Linked DNA regions of Oryctolagus cuniculus. The protein of the gene in region 2 interacts with the protein of the main gene of each other region in a pairwise test. Links are inferred from orthologs where the notes say so. Each region holds a gene or a part of one and is shown on either strand. Other genes may lie near its edges. The genes, in order: LRRFIP1 and FLII.

The links.
Region 1: the proteins of FLII (region 2) and LRRFIP1 interact in binary tests that used the Homo sapiens proteins (3 or more experiments, as listed by UniProt). The link is inferred for Oryctolagus cuniculus from reciprocal best matches to the Homo sapiens genes FLII and LRRFIP1.

The regions. Positions count from the first base shown.
Region 1 is NC_091434.1:2,644,091-2,648,470, forward strand, and holds the start of LRRFIP1 (leucine-rich repeat flightless-interacting protein 1), read right to left. Parts: upstream 3,050-4,380; 5' UTR 2,983-3,049; coding exon 2,893-2,982; intron 1-2,892.
Region 2 is NC_091448.1:62,266,472-62,270,817, forward strand, and holds the start of FLII (protein flightless-1 homolog), read left to right. Parts: upstream 1-1,507; 5' UTR 1,508-1,602; coding exon 1,603-1,665; intron 1,666-2,908; coding exon 2,909-3,019; intron 3,020-3,264; coding exon 3,265-3,336; intron 3,337-4,202; coding exon 4,203-4,283; intron 4,284-4,346. UniProt on the Homo sapiens protein: Is a regulator of actin polymerization, required for proper myofibril organization and regulation of the length of sarcomeric thin filaments. It also plays a role in the assembly of cardiomyocyte cell adhesion complexes.

The DNA.
Region 1 (4,380 bases), on a different chromosome or scaffold from region 2:
CTCCAGCCCAGCAAGACAGTGAGAAGAGATGACATCCCACGCATCTATGGTGGCTGACAAGGACCACGCTGTGTGCCGCACACCTGCCTGGACTCGGCCGCATGCCGTGCCGCACACCTGCCTGGACTCGGCCGCATGCTGTGGCGCACACCTGCCTGGACTATGGCTGTAGATCCCAACCCCTCCCAAGGCAACCCCCTTGGTGACGGAGCCCAGCTCTCACTCCTGCTCCAGAGGGACTGGGCCCCTACTCATGGCCGTGGCCGTGGCCTCAGCCAGAATCTCCCCACTCCCTCTGGAAGGCACATTCCTGGACGCCTGACCCAGGTCCACCCCACTCCCTGCCACATTCCTAAGGGCTCGTCCCTTCCATCCTCCACACAGCCTCAGGGGAGGCTGGCTCTGCCCACTTCCAGGACGGGCCTGGCCCTGGGTCCAGTGTCCCGGTCCCAGTGCATGGCCCAAGGGATGCTGGGAGACAGGTGCAGGTGTCTCAAGGAGAGCTTCTGGGTGTCGGGACAGCTCCCAGATCAGGAAGGGGGCGGCTCACGGGGACGCGGGAGGAGGCCACCCACAGGGGTCGAGAGGCCCGAGCTGCCGGTGCGGCTGTGGGAATCCTGCCAGGCCCCGCACTTTCTGCACCCCAGCCCAGCCACCTCCCCTGAGGACCCGCACGTGTTCAGAGGTGTGTCCTAGCAGCCCAGACATCCTGACTGAAGGGCACACTGTGTGTGCATGTCTCTGTAAGTGTATGTGTCTGTGTGTATCTGTGCTGCATGTCTGTGTATATGGCCTGTGTGTGCACGTGTGTCTGTGTGTGCATGTATGCCCGTGTATCTGTGCCTGTGTGCATGTCTGTGTGTGCATGCATGTCTGTGTGCATGTGTCTGGTATCTGTGTGTGTGCTTGTACGTCTGTGTATCTGTGTGTGTGCGTGTCTGCGTGTATGTATATCTGTGTCTCAATCTGTGTCTGTATTGTGTGTATGTATGTGCATGTGTGCCTGAGTATGAGTGTGTCTGTGCAGGTGTATCTTTGTGTACATGTGTCTGTGCATGTGTGCATGTGTCTGTTTCTGTGCTTGTGTGCATGTCTGTGTGTGTCTGTGTGTGTATCTTTGTGTCTGTGTGCATGTGTGTCTGTGTATCTTTGTGTCTGTGTGCATGTATGTCTGTGTGTTTGTGTCTTTGTGCATGTCTGTGTCTCTGTGTGTCTGTGTATCTTTGTGTCTGTGTGTGTCTGTGTGTGTATCTTTGTGTCTGTGCATGTGTGTCTGTGTGTTTGTGTCTTTGTGCATGTCTGTGTCTCTGCGTGTCTGTGTATCTTTGTGTCTGTGTCTGTGTCTGTGTCTCTGTGCCTGTGTGCCTGTGTGCCTGTCTGCTACCCTCGCCCTCTCCAGTCCTGGCAGCCGGGGGACTTCCTGCCCTCCTTCTCAGAGAGAACACAGGCGCAGAGGAGGGGGAGGAGCTCCCTTCCCCAGGACATCACAGCCAGGGTCTGACTCCAAGTCCATCCCTGTGACTGGCAGCTGCTGCTCCCTGGTGGGAGGCGGGGCCTCCGGGCTGTCAGCCGGGCGGGCATTCCCCCCCTTTCCAGCCAATCTATTTTTATAGAACAGGCAGATAAGAGCAGACCTGGGAGACTCATTCTTCTCGTTCCTTTGTCCCACAGCCACCAGGGGAAGACAAGGACCAGCGTTCCCCAGTCAGCTCTGGTCCTGTGTTTCGGTTCTGTCCAGATACACGCACACGGGGCTGCCTTCATGGGGAAGGGTGCTGGCACCATCCAGACTGCTACAGGTGGCCAAAGGCCCTCTCAGTGCCTGTACCTGCTGCGCCCGGCTCCGTGCTGAGCTCTTGGGATGCAGAGGTGAGAATGACGTTGGTGGCCCGGGTATGACCTTCTCCAGGTGAGGACATGATTACGACCACAGCAGGTGCCACGTGGAGGCGCGGAGGCCCAGCCTGGGGTGAGGCAGGCATCACAGGTGTGGTGTCCACCCTGGCTCCCAGGGAGGCCTCGGAGTTTGCCCAGAAAGCCCTATTCTGTCTCACACCAGAAAAACAAGGCTTTCTCAGTGAATACTCAACAAATGCTGGTGGCCGCCCCACGTCGGCAAAGGCAAAGCCGGGGGGTTCAGGGTGGGAGACACCCCAGATCCCAGGAAGCGTGCGGCTGTGAGCCCACAGCAACCCCAGCTGCCAGGAAGTTTCCCCAGGTGGGACTCGGGACCGCACAGCAACCCTCCCTCAGGCTGACCCTGGGCGGCCGTGCACGTGGGCACACGTCCCTCTCGGTCCCGGCGCAGGCTGGGCACACAACCCCAAGGCCACAGCAGGAACAAGCAGGCTTCCTTTGTCCCCTGGAGACCCCGGCACCAGCTCCCTTCCCCTCCGCCACTGCCATTCACAGGTGAATCCCCTACCCACCCAGGGATGGGGAAAAGGGCCTTGGGACGGACACCCAGCAGTGCGTGGGGTTCACCGCGCGCAAAGTTCACTTCCCACAAGACCTCGGCTGCAGTCAGTCAGCCGCCCGACTTCCACCGAACCTCACCGAGCGCCTGCACCCCGCATCAGCTCCGCCCAGACTCAGGACGCGGGGACCCCCACCGGCACCCCCCAGCGCAAACGGCAGCCGAACACCCGGGCTACTGCGGCAGAGCCACGCGGCCTCGGGGTCCCCCACAGCACCCCTCACCGCCCGCAGCGCACAAAGCGGGCACTCGCCCCTGGCGGCCGCCCGCGCCCCGCCACAGCTCGCTGCGCCCCTGCTAGGCTCGCGCAGGGCCTGTCCCGAGCCGAGGACATGCGGGGTCCGCAGGCCGCCGGCGAGAGCGGGGGCGCGGGGAGACCCGGGCCGGGTCCCGCACCGCCGGGGGCCGCGCCTCACCTCGCGCGCGATCTGGTGTAGCGCGTCGTCCTCTGCCGTCAGCCGCTCCCGCGTGGGGAGCCGCTTGCGCCCGGAGCCCGGGGTGCCCATGTCCACGGCCGCGCTGCCCGCAGCTGCCCGCCGTCCACCGCCCCCGCGCGGCCCCGCGCGGCCCCTCCCTCCGCCGCGGCGTCATGGCGTCAGCGGGCGCGGGGACGCGGGCACGGGGGCGCGGGGCCCGCGAGGACGCCGGGGCCAGGGACGACAGGGGCGGGCGCGCGCAAGCGATGGCGCTGGGGACGCTCGCGCGGGGCCCGAGGGCCGGTGGGCGGGGGCCGGGGGCGGTGCGAGGCGCACCCCGGGGTCAGCGGGCGGGCGAGGGGTCCTGGAGAGGGCGGTGCGCTGGCGGAGGCGGGACCTCTGCGGGGCGCTGGGAAGGAAGGAGTCGGTGGGCACTGTGGGCTGGAGTGGGCGCAGGTGTGGTCCGGGTTCCACCTGCGCCAAGGAGGCTGTGCCGGGTCTGTGCGCCTTGCGGGTCTGGGTCACGCCCAGGTGCGTTCACATCATCTGCTCGCTGCTCAGCGGAGTGACCTTGGCCAGAGCCCTGGGAATCCGAGCAGGAATTCGGGGTTCTGTCCACACCTGCTCTGGAGCCCACAGCCGGGACCGGTCACTCCCCTGTGTGTTCCCGGCTGGTGCCGCCCTGTGCTGGATCCTGGGCTGTAGGAAAGGAACCCCCTGAGCTGAGTGGAAGGCCGCCATGGGCATTCAGTGGGTTTAAGGTAATTTGGGGGATTAGGTATGGTTTCTAAAGCCTTGCCCAGCATTCTGGCCGTTAGCCGTCTGGCTTGGGGAAAAGAGGCAGCCGCAGAGTGGGAACCCTGGGAGTGATGGGGATGTAGGGAGAAGTCTGGACAGGAGAAGGGTGGTGGGAGAGGGAAGGGGATGCGCTGAGCGCCGAGGCCACCGTGTTTCCTGCAGACCGAAGGACACGTTAGCATATTCCTAACTGAGCGGATTGTCGTGAATTCTCGGTAACCTGGAAGCTGGGTGGAGGAGGGGCGGGGAGGGGACCCCCGCGGTGGCAGGGCAGGACGGTGAGTTGAGTGACAGGGGAGGGAGGTGACATCCAGGGAACACCTGCATGACACCTGCTTGGCCTGAGGCGGGTTGGCAGGGCAGACCGTGTTGGTGTTGTTGTGCTCTGAGCAGGTGCTGCACCTGCACAGGTAGGCACCGGGAGGTAGCTGGGGTTGGATCTCCCCCACTAAGTTCACAGCACCCGGAGCCCTGGCTCCTCAAGTACCAGGTCCTGGCTGGAGGAAACCAGGCAGCCGCTCTGGCTGTGCCCTGGACTTGCTGGTGGCCACTGTCCAGCCCCACGGGTGTGTTGTGATGACTCCCCGTCTTTGCCAAGGCTCACGCATCCACCTGCAAGCAGCCAGGTGCTGTGTTGGAGCAGACGCGGCCACCGCCCTCTCGGGGCGGCTGATGGAGATGGCTGGGACC
Region 2 (4,346 bases):
CCACGGACCAGCGCTGCCATCGGCCCCCAGGCCTCCACGCTGCCAAGTGCGTAAAGCACTTGAAATGCCCACCCCTCCAGCGCACGCGCACCTGCCCCAGCGAGGGCTCCGTGCCACCTAAGGGGTGGGGGGCGCGCAGGAACCGAGCAGTTAAAAATAACCCGCAAGCCGCCGGCGCTGGGCCCGGGCTTACCAGGCCGGCGCGGCAGTCCCTCGGTGGGCCGGTTCACAGGCGAGGACAACGGAGGCCTTGGGAAACCCAGTCAAGCACCCGAGCCGGGAACGGCAGGGCCGGGACTCGAACTCGGGGCTCACAGGAATCCTCCCGGGCCCCGCCCCCGGACGTGCGCCACACCTAGGGCTGGGGGACCCGGGATGCGGGTTGTCGGGGAGGCCCCGCCGGGCTCCCAGCCGTACCTGCGTCGCGGCGTCCACACACCGACCGGACCACGCAGCGGGCCCGCCGGGACCCGGCGCCGGAACCCGCCTGCGGATGGAACGTGAAGGACCCGGGCCCCGAAGGCCGAGGCGCTGGCGTAGGCAGACGAGCAGGCCCTAGCTCCAATCGGAGCGCTCGGCTTCTTCAGGGGCGTTCCAAAACACTGCGAGGTTCGGCCAATGAGGGGCCTGCCACGCCCCTTCTCCGCCCTGCGCGCTCCCTCGGAGGCGGGGCTTTCCGGGGGCACTCCGGATTTAAAGGCGCAGGGCTGCATTATTGGGCCCGCAACGTTTGCGTGGTGCCTGCTTGGAGCCCACAGAGGCGCGGGGGATGCGTGCGCGTGTGCGTGTGTGATGTGAGCCTCCCGCGTGGAGGAAGCTGGCTGGGCCCCAGTTTCCTTCCTCTGGCCGGGCAGACGGGTGGTAGCACCTGGTCCAAAGGCCTGCACGCCGACCCCTAAGTCACCTTTGCGGGAGCGCCTTAGCACCTGTCTGCGCGCGGGGTAGGGGGTGTGCCGCCGGCCCCGTGCGTCCCTGGGCCTGCCCTCTGTCCGCCTGGGCCTCAGTTTCCCGTGCCGTACAATGGGGACGTAGGCAGCGCCCCTGGGAAGGGTGGTTTGCATGCGGGCCTTAATGAGAACCACCTGCCACGCACCAAGCACCTGCTGCGTGCTTCGAGCCGCACGTGCGCGCGTGGTCACTCGCTGCCGGCCACCACCTTGGTAGGGTGAGGAAGGTGGGGCCGCCCCGGCTCCGCACGGAGACCGCCGGGGACCCCTTGTGCGCGGACGCAGAGTGCGAGGCCCCCAGAGCGCAAGGCCCCCGGGCCCCGGCGAGGTCCCCAGAGCGCAAGGCCCAGGGCCCCGGCGAGGTCCCCAGAGCGCAAGGCCCCGGGCCCCGGCGAGGTCCCCAGAGCGCAAGGCCCAGGGCCCCGGCGAGGTCCCCAGAGCGCAAGGCCCCGGGCCCCGGCGAGGTCCCCAGAGCGCAAGGCCCAGGGCCCCGGCGAGGTCCCCAGAGCGCAAGGCCCCGGGCCCCGGCGAGGCCCGAGGTGCCGGCGGCGGCGGGCGCGGGCGGGTTAACGGGGCGGAGTCGGCGCTGGCCCAGCCCGCGGCTCCCGAGCCGCCCCCAGCGCCCGGCCGGCCCGGCAGCGAGAGCGGCGCCGCCATGGAGGCCACCGGGGTGCTGCCGTTCGTGCGCGGCGTGGACCTCAGCGGCAACGACTTCAAGGTGAGCGGCGATCCGGGCTCGGCGCGGGCACCACCTCGCCCGCCTCCGGCCACACTGCGGGCGGCGGCCGGGGCTCTGCGGGCCTCCCCACCGCAGCCCGCAGCCGGCACCCCGGGCCTCCGCCCAGCGTCCCCCCGCGGGAAGGCCGAGCCCGAGCGGCGCGGGCCCAGGCCGGGGGAGGGCGTGGGCGCTGCGGGCCTGCGCACCGCCGCCCCGGGGGTCTCACGGCCCAGCCGGCCGCTGACTCAGGGCCGCCGCTGCCTTGGCTGCCCAAGGGCGGGCCCGGAGGCGGCTCATCACCGCCCTGCGCTCCATCCTGTGTGGTCTTGGGCAAGTCACTTCCCCTCTCCCGGGCCTGGGTTTTTCTCATCCGGAGAAGGGACTCGAGTCTACCCTGCGAGTGTAGACTTGCGGTCTGGACGCTCTGGCTGGGGGGAGGTTCTCAATATGGGTAGGGGCGCCCAGAGCCAGAGCCAGGTGGGCGGGGCTTCCGGCCGGTGATGGGCAACCTCTGGCCTGTCCACTTAGGCGTCTCAGGGTGTGGGGCGGAGGCCGGCGGGCTCCTGTCCAGCCTGTGTTGTCCACATCTGTGCTGTCCCATCTCCGTTCCTCGTCCCGACCTCAGCCATCCCCACTTGGGGTCTCCACGCTTCTCCCCTGGGCTTGGGCGGGCCTGAGTCACCAGCTGGGAATGTGGCCGGTGGGGGGAGGGGCACAGCCCCTGGGCACTGGCTGCAGCGGCTGCCCCAGACTCGGCCACGAGGGCTGGGGGGGGGGTGTTGGGGAGGGGAACACGGGGAAGGAAGGAGGTGGCACCCACTCGGGCAGGGTTGGGAGAGGGGGACACAGGGCAGGGGACCTTGCTAGGAGTGGCCAGGGTGCTGAGGGTACGGGGTGGGGGTGGGGTCCCACAGCCCAGGCAGACCCAGAGTATGGGGCCCAGGAATTTGAGCTAAGCTCACCACACAATGGGGGGGCCAGGATATCCCCATTTTGCTTGGCCCCTCCTGGGGCTCAAGGGCAGTAGCAGAGACCCTCTTAGGCCTCCGCTCTGGCCCCTGGAGCCTCCACGGGTAGGGGAGGGGCTTGGGCCAGTAGGGAGGGCTCCCCTGGAGGGGGCGGGGCCTGTGGGGAGGATCTTGTGGTTGTTGAGAGTTGGCTGTGTGGCCTCCCTCAAATGTGCCCACGGGCAGGGGGAGCCCTCTCCCAGGCCAGCCTCAGCACACCCCCACCCCCACCCCAGGGTGGCTACTTCCCTGAGAATGTCAAGTCCATGACAAGCCTACGATGGCTGAAGCTGAACCGCACAGGCCTCTGCTACCTGCCCGAGGAGCTAGCCGCCCTGCAGAAGCTGGTGAGGAGGGGTGGGGTCTGTGGGGAGGAGGGGCGGGGCCTTGGGAGGATCTGGCAGACAGGGAGGGGATGAGCGCCCCGTCCTGGGAGGTGTGCAAGAAGCTGGGTCTGAGCAGGAAGGAGGCTGTGGGGGCGTCCTGGGCTGGCGCTGGCCGTCTGGGGCTGTGCAGAGCAGGGGTGGCAGGTGGGGACTGTGGATACCCCCGCCCCGCCCCACTGAGCCTCCGCTGCCCCGCCCTGGCACAGGAGCACCTGTCCGTGAGCCACAACAACCTCACCACGCTTCACGGGGAGCTGTCCAGCCTGCCTTCTCTGCGGGTGAGTGCGGCGGGTGCCGGACCCCAGGCAGGGCCCGGCCGGCTTCTCTGCCAGGCTCCGGGCTCTGGGGCCCTTTGTCGTGGGTGGACGTGGCGTGGTCCCTGTGGGTGGGGACAGCTCCACGGGTGCCAGGCATGCCGAGTGGACGTCCACGTCCCCCCATGCCTGACGGTGTCGCAGATGAGGACATGGCCACAGGCGCAGGTCACTCGCCCAAGGCCACACAGCCGGGCAGCCGAACAGCTGGAGTCGGGGGGGCGGGGTTTGGCCAGTGGGCGCTCTTCCCTGCTGGATGTTAGACTGCTGGCCGGGCCCTCGGAGCCTCAGGGAGGTGGCCCTGGCCCCGGCTGGAGCCTCAGCCCTGGGAGCTCCCCCGGAGCCAAGCCGGGCTCTGCCACTCCCAGCTGTGTGGCCTGGGACAAGTCCCTTCTGCAGATGGGGTGGCTGGGAGGGCCAGTGGGGACCCCGTGGGCAACCGCACAGCGCTGCGGAGGTGGCAGGGGCGGCCCCGGGGTCGCATGGGTCCCCGCTCTGTCCCCGACCTTAGGGAGGGAAGCATTTCCGGTCAGCCCACGTTGCCCTCTCTTCACTCCAGCCCCCTCCATCTGTCCTAGCCACCCTCACTCCAAACCGCACCCCATCTTCCTGAATGAACAGGAGGGGTGTCTGATCAGAAACATCTGGGGTTTCCGTGCTGGGCTCTGGGGCACATTTGGGTTTTGAAGCGTGAATAGGAGCTCACCGCGGGAGGCTGTAGAGCAGAGACAGGGCAGGCCCAAAGGGGCCCACCTCTGCCTCTGCCTCTGCCTCTTCCCGGGGCGGGGGGTGGAAGCCAGGAAGCAGGGACTCTCGTGGTCTACCCGCAGGCCATCGTGGCTCGAGCCAACCAGCTGAAGAACTCCGGAGTCCCTGACGACATCTTCAAGTTGGAGGACCTTTCTGTCCTGGTCAGTGGCTGCCCGCCCAGCTGCCCCCTGCCAGCCTCTTGGTCCAGTCCCCACCCATCGCGA